3 linked regions of the Oreochromis niloticus genome follow. The protein of the gene in region 1 interacts with the protein of each later gene in a pairwise test. Links are inferred from orthologs where the notes say so. Each region holds a gene or a part of one and is shown on either strand. Other genes may lie near its edges. The genes, in order: cib3, enox2 and trim2a.

What was found.
Region 2: the proteins of cib3 (region 1) and enox2 interact in binary tests that used the Homo sapiens proteins (3 or more experiments, as listed by UniProt). The two-hybrid records come from large-scale screens. The link is inferred for Oreochromis niloticus from reciprocal best matches to the Homo sapiens genes CIB3 and ENOX2.
Region 3: the proteins of cib3 (region 1) and trim2a interact in binary tests that used the Homo sapiens proteins (3 or more experiments, as listed by UniProt). The two-hybrid records come from large-scale screens. The link is inferred for Oreochromis niloticus from reciprocal best matches to the Homo sapiens genes CIB3 and TRIM2.

Annotation. Positions count from the first base shown.
Region 1 is NC_031982.2:23,282,900-23,290,553, reverse strand, and holds the start of cib3 (calcium and integrin-binding family member 3), read left to right. Parts: upstream 1-4,604; 5' UTR 4,605-4,649; coding exon 4,650-4,700; intron 4,701-5,369; coding exon 5,370-5,404; intron 5,405-5,860; coding exon 5,861-5,972; intron 5,973-6,486; coding exon 6,487-6,634; intron 6,635-7,654. Other genes in the region: admp (anti-dorsalizing morphogenic protein), read left to right, coding at 1-69, 158-277, 377-566, 1,051-1,472. UniProt on the Homo sapiens protein: Acts a an auxiliary subunit of the sensory mechanoelectrical transduction (MET) channel in hair cells. Plays a role in regulating hair cell MET channel localization and function.
Region 2 is NC_031966.2:17,190,780-17,197,691, forward strand, and holds the start of enox2 (ecto-NOX disulfide-thiol exchanger 2), read left to right. Parts: upstream 1-3,819; 5' UTR 3,820-3,999; intron 4,000-6,912. UniProt on the Homo sapiens protein: May be involved in cell growth. Probably acts as a terminal oxidase of plasma electron transport from cytosolic NAD(P)H via hydroquinones to acceptors at the cell surface.
Region 3 is NC_031971.2:13,887,876-13,895,668, reverse strand, and holds the start of trim2a (tripartite motif-containing protein 2), read left to right. Parts: upstream 1-4,725; 5' UTR 4,726-4,830; intron 4,831-7,793. UniProt on the Homo sapiens protein: UBE2D1-dependent E3 ubiquitin-protein ligase that mediates the ubiquitination of NEFL and of phosphorylated BCL2L11. Plays a neuroprotective function. May play a role in neuronal rapid ischemic tolerance.

The sequences.
Region 1 (7,654 bases):
GCAGAGCTCCATCTTTATAAGCTGAGACCTCAGGCACCCTTGACGTTAAACAGACATCACTTCAGCCAGGTATGTAGACCAGCTGTAGACCGGTATTTAAACCTGAGTGGCTGAATGGCTGTTTCTAATTCTGTCTACATTAATTTGGCTCTTTCAGGTCAGTGTTTATCAGCTGCTTGACTCCAGCACAACCAATTTTACGCAGAAGAAGCTGCTTTCCTCTCGACTCATCCCAGTGCACTCCTCTGGTTGGGAAGTCTTCACAATCACACACGCAGTAAGTATCACCGACTCTTTAAAGCCCACAAATATCTGCTTTGAGCTACACTGGACAGTGGAGAGTGCTGAAATAAACCGATGACCTTTCCTTCTGAAGGTGCGCTCCCGGATGGTTGATGAGGGCACCAACCTGGGACTTCAAGTGGTGGTTCGGACACTGGGAGGGAGCCAAATGGATAAAAAACTGATCCGCTTTGCCTCAGGGCGCCACCACCATCACAGCAAACAGCCCATGCTGGTTCTCTTTACTGATGATGGCCGCTACTCTAATCCTCTTGCGAGCAAAGGTGAGATTTCTACTTTAATGTCAGTTACTCCCAGTGATATTAATTAAAAGTGAAGATAGCAGCCTTGTAGATAAGATTTAAAGTGGTTAAAGGGAAACCAGCCTCCAGTCTCTATATTCATAAGCACAGCAGCCTTAGTTTTAGTTTTAATGGAAGAGTGAACTAAATGTTCACTGAGGTCAGTGCTGACAATATTTCCATCCACATGTGCAACCAGTATTTTGCATGCTTATGAAGGAAACACTCACGTACGACTGGCCTGTGACTGACTGGGAGTATGCTTACAATTCAACAGCTTGATGAAAAATGAAGCTTTCAGTGTTTTGTGTGTCCCACTTAAGGGCTTTAGATGTTATATTTCTTTGCACTCTACATTCAAACTTCTAGATCTACTTGTCCATCACTGCTTCCTCTTCTGTTTATGGAATGTACTTAGTAACAGTTCAAACATTGCATTTTTAAAACAGTGGATTTCTTTCTCCAGATTCAGATGATACAGCAGAAACTTCCAACCTGCCCCAGACTCCCATGTCCGGTCCACCTTCCCGTAGTGCTCGATCTCTGGGCTACGATGCAGATGGTGCAACCACGCACTGCCAGCGGTTTCCCCTCAACGTAGACTTCGAGGAGATCGGCTGGTCGGGCTGGATCGTATCACCAAAGGGGTACAACGCTTACTATTGCAAAGGCTCCTGCCCCTTTCCTCTGGGTCAGACCATGAAACCAACCAACCACGCCACTGTCCAGTCCATCATCAATGCCTTGAAGCTGGTGAAAGGCATTGAGACGCCGTGCTGTGTGCCCGACAAGCTCTTTTCCATCAACTTGCTCTTCTTTGATGATGATGAGAACGTGGTTTTAAAACAGTACAATGACATGGTGGCTGGAAGCTGTGGGTGCCACTAACGTTAACTAGTCACTGGTATCGGGCTGCGAAGATTAAAAACTGTAAACATTGTAAATAGAGCTTGGTCAGCTGACCCTGGAAACTTTGACTGCAACTATCATGTGCCCAGTCCTACATGTGACACTGTAGTATATGTAAATAATGATAAATTATAATATATGAAAGTAATTGAAATGATATTAAATAATCAAAGGAATGTTAAATAAATTTGTAAATCTGTATTTTTTATGTTTTGTGTTGGGATATATTTGAATAAATATTGTAAATGAAAGTCTTGTTTATTGGCCCTTGCATCAGTCTGATGCATCAGTTGTGAGGCTTAACAAAGCTTCACAATTCAAACCAACCACCAAAAAACAAAAACTCTAACAAATGAAATATGAAAAAAAGGCTTGTAACCTTTTTGTAAAGTATAAATTTAACTTGTTGACCTGCTATGATTACAATGGATGTAATTTCTTGTTTCTTAGCGTTCACCTTTCTCTCCTGCCTTGCCTTCCCTTGCTCATGTCTATATTTATTTTATGTTTCTAATACTTCCTGTTTTTTTTGTGATGAGTCTTTTTTGTGTGTCTCCAGTTACTTTAAGCTTCCTTTATTTCCACCCCATGTTTTCCAGCTCTGTGGACTTTTATAAGTTTTCAAAAATCTGTATTAAAGCTCGTCTTTTGCCTTTCAGAAGTGTTTCTCTGGCTCCTCTTTTTGAGAAAAGTAATCCCTAACGTTGTGCTAGATCAGGCTCATCAGAATTCAGTATCGCTAAATAGTTCATGTTACGATCGCGTTATTATGTATACATGGATGCATGTAATGCATTTTTTATGGCACTATACCACCACTTGCAATATTAATGTATCACTGTATGTAATGACAGTGAAGGCATCTTATCTTATGTCATTCATCTGCACTGAGTATATTCAGGCTGTTTGAATACTAACTTTACAAACAAGAGGCCTCCACTAGCCTACTGGACATCTTCCTTTTCACCACTAGAGGGCACTGATGTCCAAAGGGGTTTCCCCGATTAGGTAAGAATTGGGTCCAGTGAGCACAAAAGGCCATCCTCCTACAAACCATCCTCTTAACAAAAGACATTCCTGAAATAAGAGTATGTATTTGAATCTAAAAGAAAAACATACATTTAGCTATACTTCTCCACAGTCTTGTAATAAAAGCCCTTATTGGGAAGGTTATAATGTCTATCATAGTCCCTGTTGTTTGGTTTGTTTTGGAATCAATTATATATTTACAATGGTTATAATAACTATACTGGTTATGGTTAAGATTAAGTTTTTAAGGGTGAAAGTAAATCTTAGTTAAACAGCAAACATAGAACACAATGTCTTAGGTAAATACAGTGGTAATATAATATGACTAAACAAATAAATTAATAGCTTATCAAATGTGATGTAACAGCAAAATGTTATATGTTGTTATATGATGATTTTAAAAAGTATTCACACATTTACAGTTAAACCATTTTCCTCTGCAAACAGTAATTCTCATGAGTTGCAGTGTCCTTGACTTTTGTTGTTAATGTCAGTAAATTAACTGTTGATTTAAATAAATTCCTCTTGCCACCCAGTTATTCTTCACTAGTTTAGATGTTCCTCTCATTGCTTTGAGCCCTCAGATTTATCTTGTTAACTCTCTCTCCATAGAGTATAGCAAGAATCAATCCGGGAATATAAATCCTTAGAGCACGGAACAAAGGCAAACAGAAAGGTGCTTTTTTTTAAGCCTTACTGACCACTCAAAACAGTTTCCACTAAAAGCCACAGTGAGTTTTTTCACACCACATTGTTATTCTGCTTTATCTACCTTGCATCCACACCTACTGCTAATTTAGAATCACCAGTTAAACTAACGTGCATGCCTTTGGACACATAGACAAAACTACCAGAGCTTTCTGCTGCTGGAGAAAAAGATGCTCATGAAATAGGAGCATTAGAAAAAAGACAGAATATGCTGGACTATAAATAGAGAGTCCTTTAAAGATGCCCCATCAGTACAGTAAGGTATGTGTTCAGCTGTAAGATGGCACAGCTCTCTGTGACCTCGTATAAAACGCATCACAAGCTAAAGTCAAAGTGTTAGGAAGCTTTCCAAGAATTAGACTGATGTAATGTCTCTGTTCATTTAATGTCTTTTAACAGCTCATAGGTGTTTATGCCGTGCATCATAAGCATTGGTGTCTGACATGAATTATGATGTGGTGAATCATGTGGTATGGAAGACAAAAAACACAATATTTTCTATAATAGAAGCATCATTGAAATTGTTCTTTGGGGTCTTTAACGGGACCAAAGAATCTCGGGTTGTTGCAGACAGATGTGGATTTTTCAAAATAAAATATATGACCCAAAAGGTTTAACCTTTATTGAGCCTTTATTTTTATGACTGCAATCACTGGTTGTTCTGGTAAGTTTCATCCTTATTACTCATCCTACCTGGAATAGAGTGAGGTAAAGTTGATACTGTACACCTGCTATTATAAATCATAATTGCAGGATCAAAGGGAAGTTTTATGTCTGTGCCTCAAGGTGTTTCTGCACTCATTTTGTGTGCATACAAGTCAACACAAGTTCAGTTTTAAGTGAGCTCTGTAACACTTAAAAGCTAAAACACTTCACAACTTTCTTTCTATCTATCTATCTATCTATCTATCTATCTATCTATCTATCTATCTATCTATCTATCTATCTATCTATCTATCTATCTATCTATCTATCTATCTATCTATCTATCTATCTATCTATCTATCTATCTATCTATCTATCGATACAGCAATTAAGTTCTCAACTGAAACAAAACTTGTCTCCCATCAAAAACTCTATTTGCCCACTACAAAACCCTGTCTCTAAAGAGTGTAACCTGAGCGGTGAACAAGGCGTTGGCCATAGAGTGCCACCAAAGGGGGTTGATACCACTTGGCATGATGCTGGACGACAGCCCTTATTCACTGTCAAAGGGGTTTCTATTCACAATGGAGAAAACGATGAAATGCCTCCATTATAGTGGGGACCAAAGGGCCCTGGTGCAGCCAGACACCTGATCTCCTCTTTGGCTCTGGCTTCCCTTTGTCAGAGTATTTCATAACTAGCATACCCACTTTAAAAAAGGACTTGATGCTGGAGCAGCGATGGACCTGAGACTCTGTGTTTCTGCGCTCAGACATGGGAAATAAACAAACCATCTTTACGGCACAGCAGCTAGATGCCTATCAGGTTGGTATCACTCCTGTTTCTTTATGAATTAATTGATAAGGCTCACTGAGAATGAATGGAGATACCGTTATCAGTATTAGCTTAACATCTACGAACAAGATTAATCAGACCTCTTCATACTATTAGCAAAAAAGAAAAGGATCCTACCCCATGTGGTGCAGCACTTCCTTTGCTTTGCTTTTGACTTGCATCATTATTGATGGAAAAAAACTCTAAGAAGTAATTTGAGGTGCAAAGTTAGAGATGTCATATGGTAAATAAATGGTAAATGGTAAGTAAAGTATTTATAAACAAAGTATTTCATTTGATTTTTGGTGCTCCTTTAATGGAGAAACTTTGTGTGCTTTAAATGAATATTTACACAAAAATAATTGCCATTAAAAAAAGTATTGAACTTCACTGCTTTGATCAACCACAACATCACCATAACATGCTGATACATAACAATAATAATAATAATAGTAGATCACTTTGCCTGTGCTGTAAGCAATTGATAATTTGCTTCCAAAAATTTACTTCTGTACTTTACCAACTCTACTGTTATAATTACAAAATGCATAAAATTGTGTAAAATAAGTGTTTTTTATTGATGTATTGCTATTACTGAGTAAATATTATACACATCACTGTATGTAAACAGCTTACATTGAATTTAAATTGTATTTACAGGACTGTACATATTTCACAAGAAAGGAAATTCTGAGGTGAGCCTACATTACTTCAGTTATTTTGTTTATACTTCCTGCTTTATGACATCCCTCCAGTGCAGAAAAGATCAAACCTAGATAACTAAACATGTACTCAGGATAAGTTGTGTTAGATCTCATTAATCTCCTGAGTCATTGCTTATGTAGCATGCTTGACAGAGCTGAATTTTGTTCTATTCTGCACAATACCATACTGTAACTCTAAACTAGACTATCAGGACACCTGTCTTGATGTGGGGCAGACTGCCACTGAGATCACAGGCTATTTTTACTGTGCTGGAAAGTGTGTAAGTTTTGAATGTTTTCCATTTTCAAAATAGTGTCCGTAGCTGAAAAGCAAATTCTTAACTTAACTTTTCCTTTCTAACTTGTCCCTTCAAAGTCCAACTCTACATATTATAGGACATATCTTGTAATTCAATATTGATAGTAAATTTTTTAAACCTTTCCTAGACTCTTCTACCGCTATCGGGATTTGGCACCGCAGCTCGTTCCTCTTGACTACACCAACCACCCAGATGTGAAGTTACCATATGAGCTGATTGGCAGCATGCCAGAGCTGAAGGTAGTCCCACTGCACTACACGCCCTGCAGACCTGCGCTCTCTCCCTGTGTTCCCAATCCATAATTAATGACCAATTAATCGACAGAATTCTTTGAGCGGTTATATGTTACCCGACTCCTTTAAACTTGAAGGATGTTGGTGGGTCCCAGAGGACACACTTTTTGGAAATGGGTCAATTATATGCCTCTTTACTCAGTGGCAGCAAGGTAAACAGGTGTGTTAACAAGCTGGTCACTGACATGCCCCAAGAAAGGGAGAGTGAGTCAGTCACGATCAGGGTCATGCCCGAGGTTGCCGCTTATTCCAAGCTGTTGTGATTACTAAAGATAATTTTATGATTCTATTGGATTTCAAACAGAAAAACAAAACTTAAAATCACAAACAGCACAGTTTTGATAGAACAGGACTAAACTGCAAGCCATCACATCCAACAAGCAGAAGTTAGTTGTGCTGAACGTTTGTGTGTTCACGCTCTGATTCTTTATTAGACTGCTGTGGTGTCCTGTTTGTTTAGGACAACCCATTTCGACAGAGGATCGCTGAGGTTTTCTCTGAGGACGGAGAGGGAAATATGACACTGGACGACTTCTTGGACATGTTTTCTGTCCTCAGTGAGATGGCTCCACGGGACCTCAAGGCCTACTATGCTTTCAAAATTTATGGTAAAATATCTTCATAAACCAGGGATGCTTGTCATTGCTTTTGTTTTTTTCTTTAAAACCAATGTTAATTCCAACCAATTTTTAAGTTTTTGCAGTTTCACAAATCATACTGTGCATACTTCACTACACTCAGTACATAACAAAGTATGTGAATAACCCTTCCTACTGCCACTGCAAGCTGAAAAAATACATTTAAATGTTAACATTTTACACCAAATAAGGAAATGTTTCATGTTAAGTCTGCTCTTCACAAACAACCATGCACCGTTTACATCTGTTTGCAAAAGGCAATCATAGAAACAAAATCGCTATACGTTAATCTGCAGAAAACAGCATTGACTTAAGCTTATTATTAGTTAGAATACGGGCAAATTTAATGTTAGAGCCATGCAGATATACTGCTGGATTTTCTGCAACTGATTTGAGTTGTGAAAGAAGATGTTTGGTTTCCAACATCCCAGACAGCAGACTGGAGTTAAACATATCTTGAAACTTGCAGAATTTAAAGAAGCGGTTTGTCAGTAAAACTGAACTGATTATCGTGCAAAAAATGTATGATGAAATCATCAACAGTAATGTATATTCATGCTGAAGGGTTATGGATCGCTAGCAGATGGTGAATGGAAAGTTTAGGATCATATACCAGCTCCTTAAAGCCTCGGTTTAAAAAAACAGTTGACAACTTGTGAAACTACACACGTAAGATGAGTGAAGAGAACTTTTCATTCCTTATTTAGACTAACAAAGAAGATAAAAGCTTAGAGGGTAACATAGTTACACTATAATGAAAAGGATTGATTATAAGAAAACACAGCTTTTCTTCATTAAGTTAATCATACACTAAATATTTCAGCCACATTAACAAAATATAAGATGAAAAAATTTAAGTTGTCAGCTTTACTGAGTCACAATTGTCCAAAAGCAATATTTAAAAAAAACTGTCTTTTGTCCAACCAGACTAGTCTAAAACTAAAATATGTTCAATTCACAGCCAACAAAGACACAAAAAGGCTTAAACTG
Region 2 (6,912 bases), on another chromosome or scaffold:
CAATTTGTGTACTGGGTCATTTCTTTCTGTCGTGTAAGGAAAGAAAATATTGATTAATGATGAAAATTCAGTAGCTTAAGCTGCAAAAAGCATTAGAACCTTTTAACAAAATCTGAAATCCACCAAGACCTGATGAATGAATGTGGTCAAAAAAATACTAAACAAAAGGAGAAAAAACTCATGTAAGGCGTCCTTGATTTTTTTTTTTTATTTATATATATATATATATATATAACAAAATCAGAAGAAACTCTTGGAACAACTCCCCAAATGTCTACGAATAAGACAACAAACTTACAATAGTGACTGCACGAAGTACAGTGAAAACAAACAAAGCTATATGTGTAATGCACAAGAAGTACAGCCTTATGTTGTGCAGCTGACGCTGTGCTGCAGTGTCTAATTGAACCAACCTACTGGGAACCAGGTAACAGCCCCTCTCTCCAGCTGGGAGTGACATGTTAACAGGGAGTATTCCTCATTTGGGAATATTAATGGATCATTAAACATTAATAGGTCCCTCGGATCAGTATTTGCACTTTGCCGTACTCCCCCCTTTAACTGGCGCATATGTGACATAGAGAGCTATGATAAGTATTCATGCCACATCACACTGGAGCAACAGACATCAGATGGAGAGCAAATAGTGATTACCAGGTAGTGCAATCTCATGCAAACAAACCAAGCAAGATGAATTCATACTAAGTTGTCAAAACATGTCAAATTTCACCATGAGCCTAAGGGGAAAGGGTGGGTGCAAAAAAGCATTAGCAATGGAGTAATTGGCATTAAATTGTCCAAAACACGTAATGATGTGGGAGTGAAATGCATGCTGGCACATATAATAATCCCCTTGTAATGAGAATTCACTAGATATCACTGGCTTTGTTCATGCCCCAGCATCTCTGAAAGAGCTTAGCCACTACAACAGTAACAATAAGCTGTGGAGTAGGAGATGGCATGAAATACAGCTGAGAGCAAAGTGAAATTGCACACAAAATGAAATAATTTGCTTAATCAAAAGAAAGGTGGTATTAGAGACTTTAAAGTGACTTGTCCATTTCTCTGCTTTCGGAAGATTAAATCGAGACATTTAGCAGATAACTCTGTCATCTTTCAATGAGGGTGCACTTTAAGTGGTGTGCAAGTGACAAGAATCAGCTTTGAGCTTTTTTTGTTGTTAAAGATTAGGATGAAGACAAAGTAAGCCTTGCAAATCCCAGGCTCAGATACCACAAGGACAAAATGAGAAACGATGACAGCAAATAAACCTGTGACAAACCAGAATGCTTAGAGTCCAGCTTGTCATTCACAGTAGCTTAGAGAGGAAAGTTTGGATTTGGTGGAGAAAATAATGATGTGACTTACTGAAAAGGGCCAATACATCTATGTAGAAATAGTCTATTTAACATCAAAGTGTTCAGTTTGAGACGCATAGTGCTGTCATATGAAAAAAAAAAAATTTCACGACTTCATGCAGTCCTGTGAAAAACAAAGTACACCTGTATTGGGTCCAGTTTAATCCAGTGGCACAGCCAAAGGGTTTAGTTTTTCTAAAGGGTCATTGTACATTTTCAAGGGGTCATAAGATGATATAACTGATAAGAAAAATTACAATAAAGTTCTGCTATACACATTTGTATTCTGTGTGTGGACTAATGAGTTATTTATTTATTTACAGTGTTACTTCTTTGCACAATAGAAAATTAAAGGTGAAATCACACGGAGGAAATCATGAAAACATAAAGACATCCTAAACATCACAAGGAGTCCCCGGCAACCCTTAGAAACTGTGAAGCACGGGTATAACTCGAATTAATAAAGTTTGTTTATTGTATTAAAAATGCTTGATTATAATATAGAATGGAATTACTCAGCTAATGTACCACATAACTCAGTAAATGTGCTTGCTTTTGACCACTTCGCTTCCAGTTTTTGTTTTTGCAAAAACAGACTTTTATGTATGCTTCAGGATTTTTTGAATAAGTAAATGTGGCAGAGCTGGCTACACATATTCTGTGGACACATATTCGTTCTAATTCCAGAGAATAACTGGCCTCTGCAAGGATAACTCATTCAACTTTAAATTTCATCAAACCCATCTGCATAATGGTTGGGTATTAATTTGAATTGGAATTTAAAGTGGATCTATTAAGTAGCCACAAATGAATAACAGCAGCTTAAGGAGATGATAACGACTTCTGATAAATGCACCAGACGGACAGATCTGTCTTTAAAATAAAAAGGAACAGATAAAAAAGATTTGTGGACCCAACTTTAGGAGGTTAGAATTATACATATTTTTGCCTAATTAAAAGAAAATCCATCCAAGACATAAAACGAAGACAAAAATTCAGTCCATCAATCCTTTTCTGGAGGTTCTGGGAACACTGCCTGAATAATAAATATATAATACATCTAGACTTTGATAGCTTGAAGCTCTATATAACAAAGAAAAAGCTGTATGGGATTCTTGAAATTCTGCCTTGAAATAATTTATATACGCATGTCAATGCAGCCTGGATCACAGCACAGTATGCAATAGGCATAACCTATTGATAAGAATCCAGCTATTTGCATATTCTTATCCCCTATTACTGAACAAATACATAAAACATATGCTAAAGCACAAATAGAATTGCCATCTAATAATAAGCAATATTATAATCCATTTGATGAGTACTTTTAAATAATTCATTTGCATATTTAAGAATTAAGTCAAGAACAAAAAAGTCTGCAACAACAAACGATTGTCCTATTGTTGTCAAAATGTTGCTTTAAAGCATTTTCTAATCTGCCAGGTGCAATTCTGTTAGACAATAATTAAAGCCATATGATTGCATTCTAGTTCTGTTTATGTGAACTCCTCTTCGCGTGGTTAAACTCCCAAGCAAATATAATTAGAAAATGCAGGCCATGTTAGTGAAAATCTAAGGCCCATTCTACAGCTTCAGTACATTTTCTGTCCCCCCCCCCATAAATCTGAAAAATAATCTGTGAGCAAAATACTAAGATAAATTGCACTTATCGTAGGACAAGACGGACCAAGATGGAAACCTAGTTGCTGAAAACGTGGTTACAAAATATCATTTCAAATAAATACATTTTTTAAAAAAGAAAAAAAGTGCAATTTTTCTCTTGTTCCAAATTCTTGACTAAATGCATTTCAAATTAAAATACGTTATGAATCTACTTTTTGGTTGGTTTTGTTATATATGTATGTATGTATATGGAGCAAGCAACCACTACAAACACATGTTGAGAACATATGGAATATTATTAATCTTATTATATTATTATATATTACACATTTATGTCATAGCCTTGTGCTCCCCTATAATGTTACTGATATTATTTTAAAATTTTCATATGAATATTGTATCTGAGTAAACATCTGACAATAAATACTGAAATTAAAAACACGTATGACTACTGAAAGTTGAACAAAGTAGATTTCCAAAGTTGTTTAAATTAATATAACTATTTAGAATGAGAGTGATTATCATGAACTTAATGGTCAGGAACTTATTAAGCTCAATTCTGATTTTTAAAGGATTAAAAAAAAAGTATTTATTGATTTATTTGTTTGTTTGTTTGTTTGTTTTAAAGGACAATCTAGGCCTAAATACGTCTTTACTTTTAAAAACAGTTTTGAAGGAAAGCTTAACTCGCCAAAAGAACATTATATTACAATGCTGGTTCCTTTTAACAGTTTAAAGTCTTTGGTGTGCTCTTATTTTGACGGGACACTCTCCCCTGACGCTCAGCTGCAAAACGAAACCTTCCAAAACACTAAACGTCAACGAAAAGCACGTGTCAAACCTCCCGCTTGCCGTACTTGGCTCCGCCATTGTTTGACAGGTCTCGTTGCTAACCAGAGGCTTTCCTGGTTACCAACTCAACAACAGCGAAAGAAAGAAACTTCCAAGCCTTCCATGGCTTTATAGGAAGCTTTTCGACAACACAGAAAGCATGGAAGAGGACAAACGCCTTAGACAGGTACTTTATACTTTCTCCCTCATTTTCTCTTTCACTTCACCGGTGCTAACTTCCGACATCAGTAGTTCGTGTTAGCTTCTGTTTTGGAAGTTCACAGCGAAGCACATAATGTGTTTTGAAGCGCACAGAGCACTTTATTATCTGAAGCCATGCTTTTGTTTCAAAATGGTAGAGTAAACTCGTTAAGTTGGCTGACTTTGCCACTTATGAACTGGGTTGACTTGGTGTTTAATCGAGCTGTGTGGAAGCGTAATGTTTTAAAGCGTCTTTGGAGCATCAGCACGGGAAGTCCAACCGCTAAGTCTGTTTCACAGTGAAATACGAGTCAGTCATACTGCTGCTGAGTTCTGACCGCAAAGCGTGCGCCGTAAAAATGTTCCTCTCCACGCCAAATAAACGCTAGAGGCGGAGCGAATAATAGTCTTGTAATAGTCAAAACCATTTACTGTGATTTGCAGCGGTGCTCAGGAAGTTATTTTGGGTGCAGAGAACAGTTTATTGCAGCAGCCAGTGCAGGCTTTAGCAAAAGCCTGCAGGTAGGGAGACTTGCTGTTTGTTACCGGTTTTCTTTACTGATTTTCTACCTCATCTTTTGTCACCGTAAATTAAAGCAAAACTGTCCCACAATAAAATACTGGGCATACTTGATTACGATAGTAAGTACTTAGATTGAAGTGTTTTTGTGTTAAATGCCACCATTGCTAAAGCAACTTTAATTTTGGAAAAGCATGGGAAGTTTGATTGGCGTGTTGCTTGAGTAAGGTTTCATTAAGATTTGTCTGATCCTTGTTTGGCCCTAAAATTAACTAACATTGCTTGGTTCTTTATTCGTTTCAATTACGTATTATTTCTATAGCACCAGTTCTGAACACTCACCTCAAGGTGCTTTATATTGTAGAGTTAAGACCCGACAATATTTGAAAGAAACCCTAATCAGACGCCCCCCTATGAGCACACACTTGGTGACAGTGAGAAGGAAAAAAAAAAAAAAGAAGAACAGTTAAAGTTGGGTCCTTTTAACAGGAAGAAACCTTCAGCAGAACCAGACAGAGGGTGAGGCAGCCATTTTGCTTTGGGTGTTTTGGGGTTGAGGAGAAAGATGAGAGAGCATAGAAAGACAGGACAAAAGGCAAAGAGAGAGCCGGAGCTTAGTAATAATTAGCAATGATTAAACGCAGCAGTGGTATATAAACACATAGAAAGTGAAATGTGAAACAAAAAAGAAGACTAAAGAAATGTTCAATACATTATGGGAGGCACTCCAGCACTCTAATGCAGCATAACTAAGGGAGGGTTCAGGGTCACCTGATCAAGCCCTGGCTATAAGATTTATCATAAAGGAAAGTGTCTGTCTCCTGAATTCAAACCAGGTTTCACATGAGAGGGGCCTGGTGGCTGACCGCTCTGTTTCTCATTCTACTTTCTAAAACTGTGAACCAAAAGTAAGCCTGCAGTCTGAAAATGAAGTGCTCTCTTAGGATAATAAGGTACTATGAAGTCTTCGAGGTATGATGGGGCCTGATTAATCAAGATTTTGTATGTGAGGAGAAAGATTTTGAATTCAGTTCTGGATTTAACAGAGAGTCAATGAAGAGAAGCTCATATAGGAAAAATATGGTCTCTCTTTTCAGTCCGAGTTAGTACTCTCTCTGCAATACATTGAATACATTCATTGCAAGCAGGTGGTGAAAAAGTGCAGCCACAACTGTACCAATGAAACTGTACAGAATGAAGAATTGCAGATGTATTATTGTCATGGTTATCCATAATCAGTAATTGTGATGCAGCCAAATTCCTATAAAAGGCTATATTGCGACCATTACTAGTCCTTGTGGTCTTTTTAAATTTTGTATTATTTCCTTATATTCCTTTGCTGTTGCTCTGTGCTTTAAAGCCTTGGGATAATAACAGTTTAACTTGGCAGCTGATCTATAAGCCAACTTATAGAAAATGGGTGGAAAGCAAACAGCTGTTCTTTGGCAGTAGAAATTAAGGAAACCAGTGTGGGCACTATGCAGCAAAACAGCTTTATGTCCGCTGTGTGATTGAAATGGAATATCAGAATCAACGTTGTTGTATTTATCTTAAGTGGCCAGGTATTGCTCGTAAGTGGTGAGGTTGTCTCTAAAAATATGGAGGATCATTACCTGAGAAGGCTCTACAAATACATTAATTTCCAGAGGTTCATGTTGAGGTGCATTTCTTTTAGGGATGCACCGATACCGATACTGGTATCGGGTATCGGGGCCGATACTGTAAAATGTGTGCGTACTCGTACTCGTAAAAGTTAACCGATACCATGAACCGATACTAATGTAGCCCGAATTTGGGTGTAGATACTCATAATTCCCATGGACTTGAACGCCACGGTAACATAAGGTGTTCACAGTTATGTGATGTAACTGTACCCTGAATTTAATTTGCCCTGTAATATGTCACAAGGTAAATACAGGTAATTAGAGCAATCAAACTGTTATGTTAATCATAAAGTATTATTTTATGGTATGTAACTCTGAAGGGAGTTAAAATATTGTTCAGAGTTCTAATTTTCTGGAGGCCCGTGAAGGTAGCATAAAACGGGACCTGTGTATCTGTTGCAATGGAGGAGGAGAAGAGAACGGCATGGAGAGATGCACGAGGTTAGCTGAACCAAAGTGAGAGACTCGGCTAGTTTTACTGAGGTTAACTAGCACAAAAGAGTGTGTAACTAGAAAGCTAACCGTGTGGGAGCTTCGCAACAGAGTGTGGGTGAAGTGACTTTTTGTTTCAACGGTCGCACCACCGTGGAAAACTGTGTTTCCAGCTACGATCGCCGAGGCTAAAGGCTAGCCCGGATTGCTTGGCTGCACCACGGAGGCAGCCGCTATGGACTGTCGGAGAGCTGGACAGTGACGGGCTAACGTGCTGTAGCAG
Region 3 (7,793 bases), on another chromosome or scaffold:
TAAGAACGGAGTGAGTCGCAACCTCTGTAGCCTCTGCATTTTTACTGCAGCAGTTGTTTCTGCAAGTAAGAAGTTAACATGAAGTCTTAATATTTGCATTTAGTTTTCTCTGATGTTAAGCATCAAAAGCCACAAATGAAGCTGTAAAATGAAAATCACCTTTGGGAATTTGGAGCTGATGCAGGGTCATCTGCGGTTTGATAGTTTACTTTTTTAACGTCATGTGTTATTAAAGTCAGAGCTTTACTACGCTGCCCTGGTGATGACCTTACTCTGTATCACTTTAAAGGACATGCTGTCACTGCTTATTAGTCTCCCTCCATCACTGTGACCTTTAAATAAGCGTGTGCCTGTAAATGCTGTCTACAGCCCATAACAACATGCTAGGAGTTTCATACTCATGTACTCATACTTACTACACCCTCAGGGATTACCTGTGATTACAGCACACAGATTAGCTGCCGGTTTGGATGCAACTGCTCAGATTTTTGAAAAAAATAAGTGAAGCAATCAATGACCCTATAAATACAACCAGTGGGTTAAAAGTAAGTCGGTAACAGAGCGAGCGAGAGTCAAGAGCTGATCTGAGTGGGGCTTTCTTCTGTCTTCAGATCTTCATTACATGAAGATGTGGTGAAAGTCAAGCCCCCAGACTGACCTCACAGCACAGAGAGGAAGTGCTCCGGAGAGAAGACTGGAACAGAAACATGAGGTGAGGGTGTTTTTCATTCACTGATATAAAACATCTCCCTCGTGTTAGTTTACTCAACGCTTTTCAAATGATGTGCTGCAATAAGACAAGACAATCTTTGTGTTTATGAACCAACGTGATATTCGGACCATATTACCTTGTGAGTCACTCAGTTTTTTAAATTCTCCTTTAGTCCCTAAATTGCAGTCTTTTACACTCACCAGACACTTTATTAGGTACAGCTCGATGTTACTGGGTTCCCTTTTGTGGCATAAATTCAACAAGGTGCAAGATGTCTGCAGCATCACACAGTTGCTGCAGACGTGTTGGCTGGATCGGACATGTTTAGCAGCAATACTCAGGTGGGCTGTGGTGTTTAAATGATTAGCAGCTGGTAAGAAGCGCTTTTCTGGTGTGAATTGTAGCCTCAGTTTCCTGTTCCTAGCTGACAGGAGTGGCACTCGGTGTGGCCTTCTACTGCTGTAGGTGTGCCTTCTTAGTCGCTTGACACAGTCTGGCCATCCTTCTCTAAACTCTCACATCAACAAGGCATTTATGCCCAGAGAATGACTACTGACTGGATATGCTTTGGAGATGACAGTGTGGGAAAATCTCAGCAGACCAGCTCATCTGACGTGAACAACCGTGCCACATTCAAAGCAACTTAAATCACCTTTTTTGCCCGTTCTGCGGCTCGGTTTGAACCTCAGCAGGTTGTCTTTACCACGTCTAGGTGCTGCCCTGTGATTGTCTGATTAGATATTTGTGTAAACAAGCAGTAGAACAGGTACCTAACATAGGTGCGTGTATGTATTCTGTTTCAAGCTTTTGGTTTTACTACACCACAAACATTTTGCTGTTCTTTAGTCTTACTGTACGTCTTGTCAGTATCGGTAGATTGCCTGGTAACTGTGCAGTAACTTCAGTGTACATTTGCCTGCAATAACCTGCAATGATGGCCAAATTAAAGCCTCACGCTGGGCATTTGTAATGTCTCAATCATGTGTTCCAACAAACAGCATGAATGAAACAAAAGAAATGTTCAATTATTCAGCAGCCATTCACAGAGCCCTCTGCTAATCCGGCCATGCTCCACTGAGCTAATAACAGCAGCAGGTGCGGGCAGCTGTGACCGGTGTGATATGAAATTATGGTCAAATGGTAAAACTCCAGTCTGGCCTAAAAATAAAAAGCACTCTGCCAGAGCATGGCCACACTCTAGTGTGGACTTTATTTACTGTTTCTGCTCTCCTGTGAAGATTTGATTTTAAAATGAATCAAGCTTTTTTTCTGGTGACATCAATCGATTCACATTTTTATGCCAAGCTACATCTTGTTGTGTTATTTGAAAACTAATTCAAGCTGCTGTCGTGACTCTAAACCAAACACTGAAAGAACCAAAGCAAATCAGCCGTGGAACTGAGTGCATGGTGTTTTTAAGGTTTAAGTTCTGAAGTAATTGGACTTTTCGTAAATATTTGATGTTTGTATGGCCATGTCAGCGCCTTAATATTTACTTTAAAGATTAATGTTAGACTTTTTCAGTCCATTATGTGCATTTAACACCTTTATTTTACTTTTGTGTACTTTTGGTGTAGATTTAAGTAAATAAGAATTAATATAAAAATAAATGCTGGTTACTGCTGATGCTAATGAGCTTTCGCTCACGTACTCTGAATGTGAAATTTTACATGCACTGGTGTGCTTTTGTGTTCTGGTGCCTCTTCAGCCTTTATTAAAACTCTTTTTAGGCTGTCACTGTACCGCTTTAGCTGTGAGGAAACAGAGGTGGGATGCTGAGAAGAAAAGGAAATCTTTGCACTGGGCCTGTGATTGTGCATCGCATGCTAAACAGGTGCCCTTTGACTGTGGCACACACACACACACACACACTGCCTGAGTTTTCTAAAATAGTAGTGAGGCCTTCAGATGCGTCACCCTTCCCCCACCTCTGACGCACACCAGACAATAAACGCTACACAGCCTGTTCCTGCATCAAACGCAATCATTAATGGAAAAGGAATGCAAATAACGCGATTCTTTCTTTCTATTTAATCTGAAAAGAGTCTTTCATGGGCGGCTGCATAATGTAGAGTTGCCATGCAACAGCCTCCCGCATAAAAAAGGGAGGGGCTTGACAGGAAACCACAATTACGACTGGCGCTTGGACGCCCATCAGGAGTCCTACTAGAAGCTGGAATTATACGACCAGCTTACATTCTTTTTAACTCAATAAAAAAAAATCTTATCTATTTATTGATTGATTGGATAAAAAAAAACAACATCCAATACAAATCCATCCATTAGATTTCTTAAACCCTTGTCCTGTTCAGGGTCAAGGCATGGCTCAAGCCTATCCTTATTGTATGAAGAGCTGGGAAAACTCTAGACAGTTAACCATGGTATAGTTAAATATTAGCCCACAGACAGCTTAGTTTAAGCCATCTTAGCCTAATTTAAAACAAAATGACAGCTAACACGAACATATCTATTGTTATATCGCCTGCTGGTTTTGGACTCTGCATTTCGAAACCTCAACAATGGCCCGTTAGTGTTTTGTGACAGACGTGATAACATTTGAAGGAGAGCAGGAGCTAGCAAGCATAATTAGCAAGCTACACCCATGACCTGCAGAGGTGCCATGCACAGACACATAGTTGGTTACTTATGGAGGGCCTCGTTGGCCGAAATGAATGAATTAAATAGAATTCATTTTGGCACTCTAGGCCCTCCGTAGTGGTTCAGTACCACACTTAGAGTAGACTAATACCAGAACTTTACTCCTTAAAACTTAATCAAACTTTGCGGCTGGTCTGTAGCGCACACATAGCCCTGACATAAGTCAGATAATTCTATAACAAATGCTTCAAATGGCTCCAGCAGCACAAACACTGTGAAGTTCACTTAAAGTTCTCCTCACACAGAAAACTATCCTACAGCTGTCTGTGTTTGCATACCCAGCTCCGAATCCAGTTATTAAAAAAATCACTTCACTTCTCTGCAGACTTGTGAAGCTACCCGCAGAGACCAAAATCCCATTTTGTATCAGACTGTAAACTTGTTTGTTTTTTTGTTTTTTTAATTCTGTAAAGTTAAGCATTTTAAAATAGGATTGACTCACTAATGGATTTAGCCTCAAGTGGCCGCTAGAGGAAATGCAGTTTATGACACTCCATATTTTAGCTCCAGTGGTCACTTGTCTGTTATCTGGTGAATAAATAAAATAGGGTCACCTGTAAAGTTGAATGAATGAATAAATAAATAGAATATTCAATTAAAAATCTATATAGTGCCAAATGACAACAGCTGACTCAAAGGCTTTATATTGTAAAGAGGCTACAATAATAAATACGGATGTTAGCTAGCAGTTGATGGACGGCTGACGATTTAAAGTTTGTTTGTTTGTTTAATTTTTTTGGCTAACTGTCCTTTGTTTTATTTATTTCAATGTATTTTTTCATAGTTACTTTAAATATTAAATTACTAAATGTGAGATGTTTGCCTCAGAGAGTGTGTAAGGAGGGTTTTTTTTGCCACATGACAAAACTACGTTAGCTTTTAACTTACCCGTGCTTCCTAACTTTATACTAAACTATAACCACTGGTATTTCTTACCTAAATAACCCTAAAACCCCGGTCAGTCAATGTCTTCATGCAACTTTTGGCAACGAAAATAATTATTTTATTATTGTGTGTGTGTGTGTGTGTGTGTGTGTGTGTGTGTGTTTAAATTATGTAGAAAGCCTACTTTTCTCTTAAATGTATTGTGGTATTAGGCCCGATTCCCAAGTGATAAAACAACAATAAATACTACAAACAGTTTCCTCGGTGAGCCACAGAAGTACCAAACACTGAAGCAGAAATAGAAATAACTCTTTGACAATCGGTTATTTTTACACGTGAATGCATTATTGATGAGTTCAGACTGCCTCCGGATGCTGTTGCCTTTCCCTTTTATTGTCAGCGGATCCCTTTAATAAGTGAAGTGGAAGTGAGTTGAAGTGGCTCTCGGTTCAGCTGTAGTGTGAGCGCAGAGCAGCACGGAGCGGAGGACGGAGGGAGCTTAAACGGGAAAATCCCAGCAGATGACGATAACTGCTTGAAACATCCTCAGTTTCCGCGGATAAGTCTGCCTTTAGGTAAGTGGAAAACATCAGCTGTGTCTGAACCAGCTTTAGGATTTGGCTTAACGCAGTCAGAGCTTCAGAGGATTCACATCTCTGTGTTAAAATGAAATGCATCCAAACATATAAAGTGCAGATGTCCAGCTGCTGGTTTAAGAGCGCAGGTCTGCAGCGGGACAACAGCGTGCCTACGTCCGCATCTTAAATCTGCGAAAACTTGAATGAACCACTGATGCGCTTGTGGTGAGTGCTGGGGAGGAAGGATCGCATGAGTTCCGAGGCATTGTGGGATTTTGTTTGGCGTTTTCAGCGCGTGTGTTGTCTGCACGTGTAGTTCTCTGTGAGTATTTACAGTTTGAACTTCAGGCTTGATCTTGAAGTTTAGCTGTCACAGCGCAGAGTCTGGCATGAGTAACGCTGTAGTCGCCGCACTGCACCTGATTCTCTGCTGCTTGTGACAAGCTGCTGTTATTTCTGCAGTGAAACGTGTCTGACCGTCGGATTCATTGAGAAGTCATCTGATTTTAGCAGGATTCATTAAAAACACTGAGATGAGAGCATTTCTGCAGATTCGGATGAGTTAGTGATTTATTTAAATAAAAACAGTAACAGTAATTTTTCAGGGAATAAATGAAATAACTAAATCTTGAATTGACATTTTGACACCATATACACCTGGTTGAACGGTTTATACACTGTGTGTTGATTTTAGAAATTAAACACGCTAATAAGTGACCCTTGGACTTGTGCTCTCCCTCTGCAGTCAGTTTACAGATATAAGAAACTTGAATTGAATACTAAATGAATCCTTTGATCAAAGGTGACCAGAGAAGTCTTTGACTCTGTTACACTGATGGGGTTTTACATTAATTTTGGGAGTTTCTACGACATTGCCATCATTATTCACAGTGGACTGTCTCAATGGCTCATCAGCAAGCCACATTCATGTCATTGTCATGGATTAAAGTGTGATTACATAAGCCTGCCCTCTCTGTCCACTCCTCTCTCTTATCCTGGCTCTGTGCGACAGAGTCTTTGATGTCCGAGCAGAAGTTTTCCTATGGCGGGCTGTTCTTTCTGTTGTGACATCAGAGATGCTTCAATGCAGTAAATGGTTGTGGGAACAAAAAGTAGAAAGTGGTGTGGTAAGGGCTGCACAATTCTGCCACCGCTGCAGTGGAGCATCATCCTCGTGCTAATCGGGAAGTTTTGGAAGGAAGGGATTCATCTTCAAGCTTCTTTTTCCCATCATGTGACTAAGTGGCACCGGAAGCCACGCGTGCCCATCCATCACATCCCACCTGATCGTGAGCTGTTCTGAGCCTACCTCATCGTTTTGATTCAAGTTGACATTAGTCTCATCTGTCCAGAAAAGGTAAACTGGGAAATGAAACGTGTCATCTGGACTTTGTGTTCTTACGTCTGATGAATAGTTTGTTGAAACCTCTGTGATTATTGTTGTGAATTCTTCTCTTCATGGGATTATTATGTGCCTAATCATATAAAAAGTGAACAGTCTTTAGTGAAATGTAAAATGCATTTTGTCGATAAACGTGTTTAATCACTCGTGATATTTAAAGAATAGTTGAGGTACGTTGTCTTGATACGCAGTGTGTAGTGTCAGCAGTTGCAAAACACTTATTTTCCCTCAAATCCACCCCTCATTCTCATCCATGTCAAAGAAATTACTTATTTATTACTTATTAAATTACTTAGAAAAAAAACTATGAATAAGCAATAAAGTAGCACACACCTAATAGCAAGTTACATGACAAAACATCTGTTTAGCCATAAATATATAGAAAATTTTAAGATCATTTGCAACATAGATACTCATTAAGGCAAATGTAGCTTTGTTACAGTATCAATCAGCAAATAACCCTGATATCGACTGACATATTTTTCCATTACATGTCGGCTGGTGGTGTTAGTATTGATGTTTTTCTCGTACAGTGACTAAAACCCCCGAAGGCTTGCTGTTCTGCACTGTTGCACTGTGACATTGTCACCCCTCAGGATCAATGGACCCAGCTCTCTGAGCTCTGCCAGAGCTCAGAGTCTGTGTGGTTAAAGCTAAGTGATTAAGCTAGAACAACAACCAGCTTAGTCACTCTTTACTCGGTAGTAGCTCTGAGTGTATCTGAATCATTTCTGTGACTGCAAATCAACAGGAGAACGAAGGACTTCTGAGTGACATCGTTTTTGAAAGGGCAAACAAACACATTATAGATTATGTACATGAAGTGTGTTGGTGAGCCTATTATTAGTGCTGATGTTGCATGGTGTGTCCACCAGGGGGCATGCTGCAATTTTCCGCACACAACAACTAACAGCTAATCCGAGCAGATTCAAGCGGAGTGGGAATGAGTAAATAAATAATTACACGTACCAAATGATTGGAGAATCTGTTTATGTGTTATAAACAGGTTCTCCAGATTCAATACATATTTAATTTTTAAATTACCAAATATCGGTATTTGTATCGGTCATAAAAATCCTTCTGATCTGTTTCTGATCCAGCATGCAAGACTTAACACTATCTTTTGGTCATCTCCAAATAATGAGGACCTCTGAGGTAATACTACAAGTTAAAGGCAACGCATATTGTAGTTATATGTGCATGTGCATGTGAAAACCTTTTACTTACTGTCTTTGAACATATTTGCACAGAGAGGCATTCATACCATTATGAGCATTAAGGCTGCAAACATATATATTTTGGGTCAAGGGTATTGTTAGTCACAATACAGGATACATAGGATACAATAGTGATGACATCATACGTCTTTCTTATCAAGTCATGGACAGTCCCCCCCCCCACCCTATCATGTGACCTATTGAGGTCACCTGACGCAAGATGTGAGTGGAGGTTGAAAGGAAGGGAGGAGATCTTAAGACTGCAATGTAAGAGGAACCTGAACCAGCCTAATAACTAAAATGAACACGTGAGCTTAGAGATGGTCTGCTTAAACTAATTA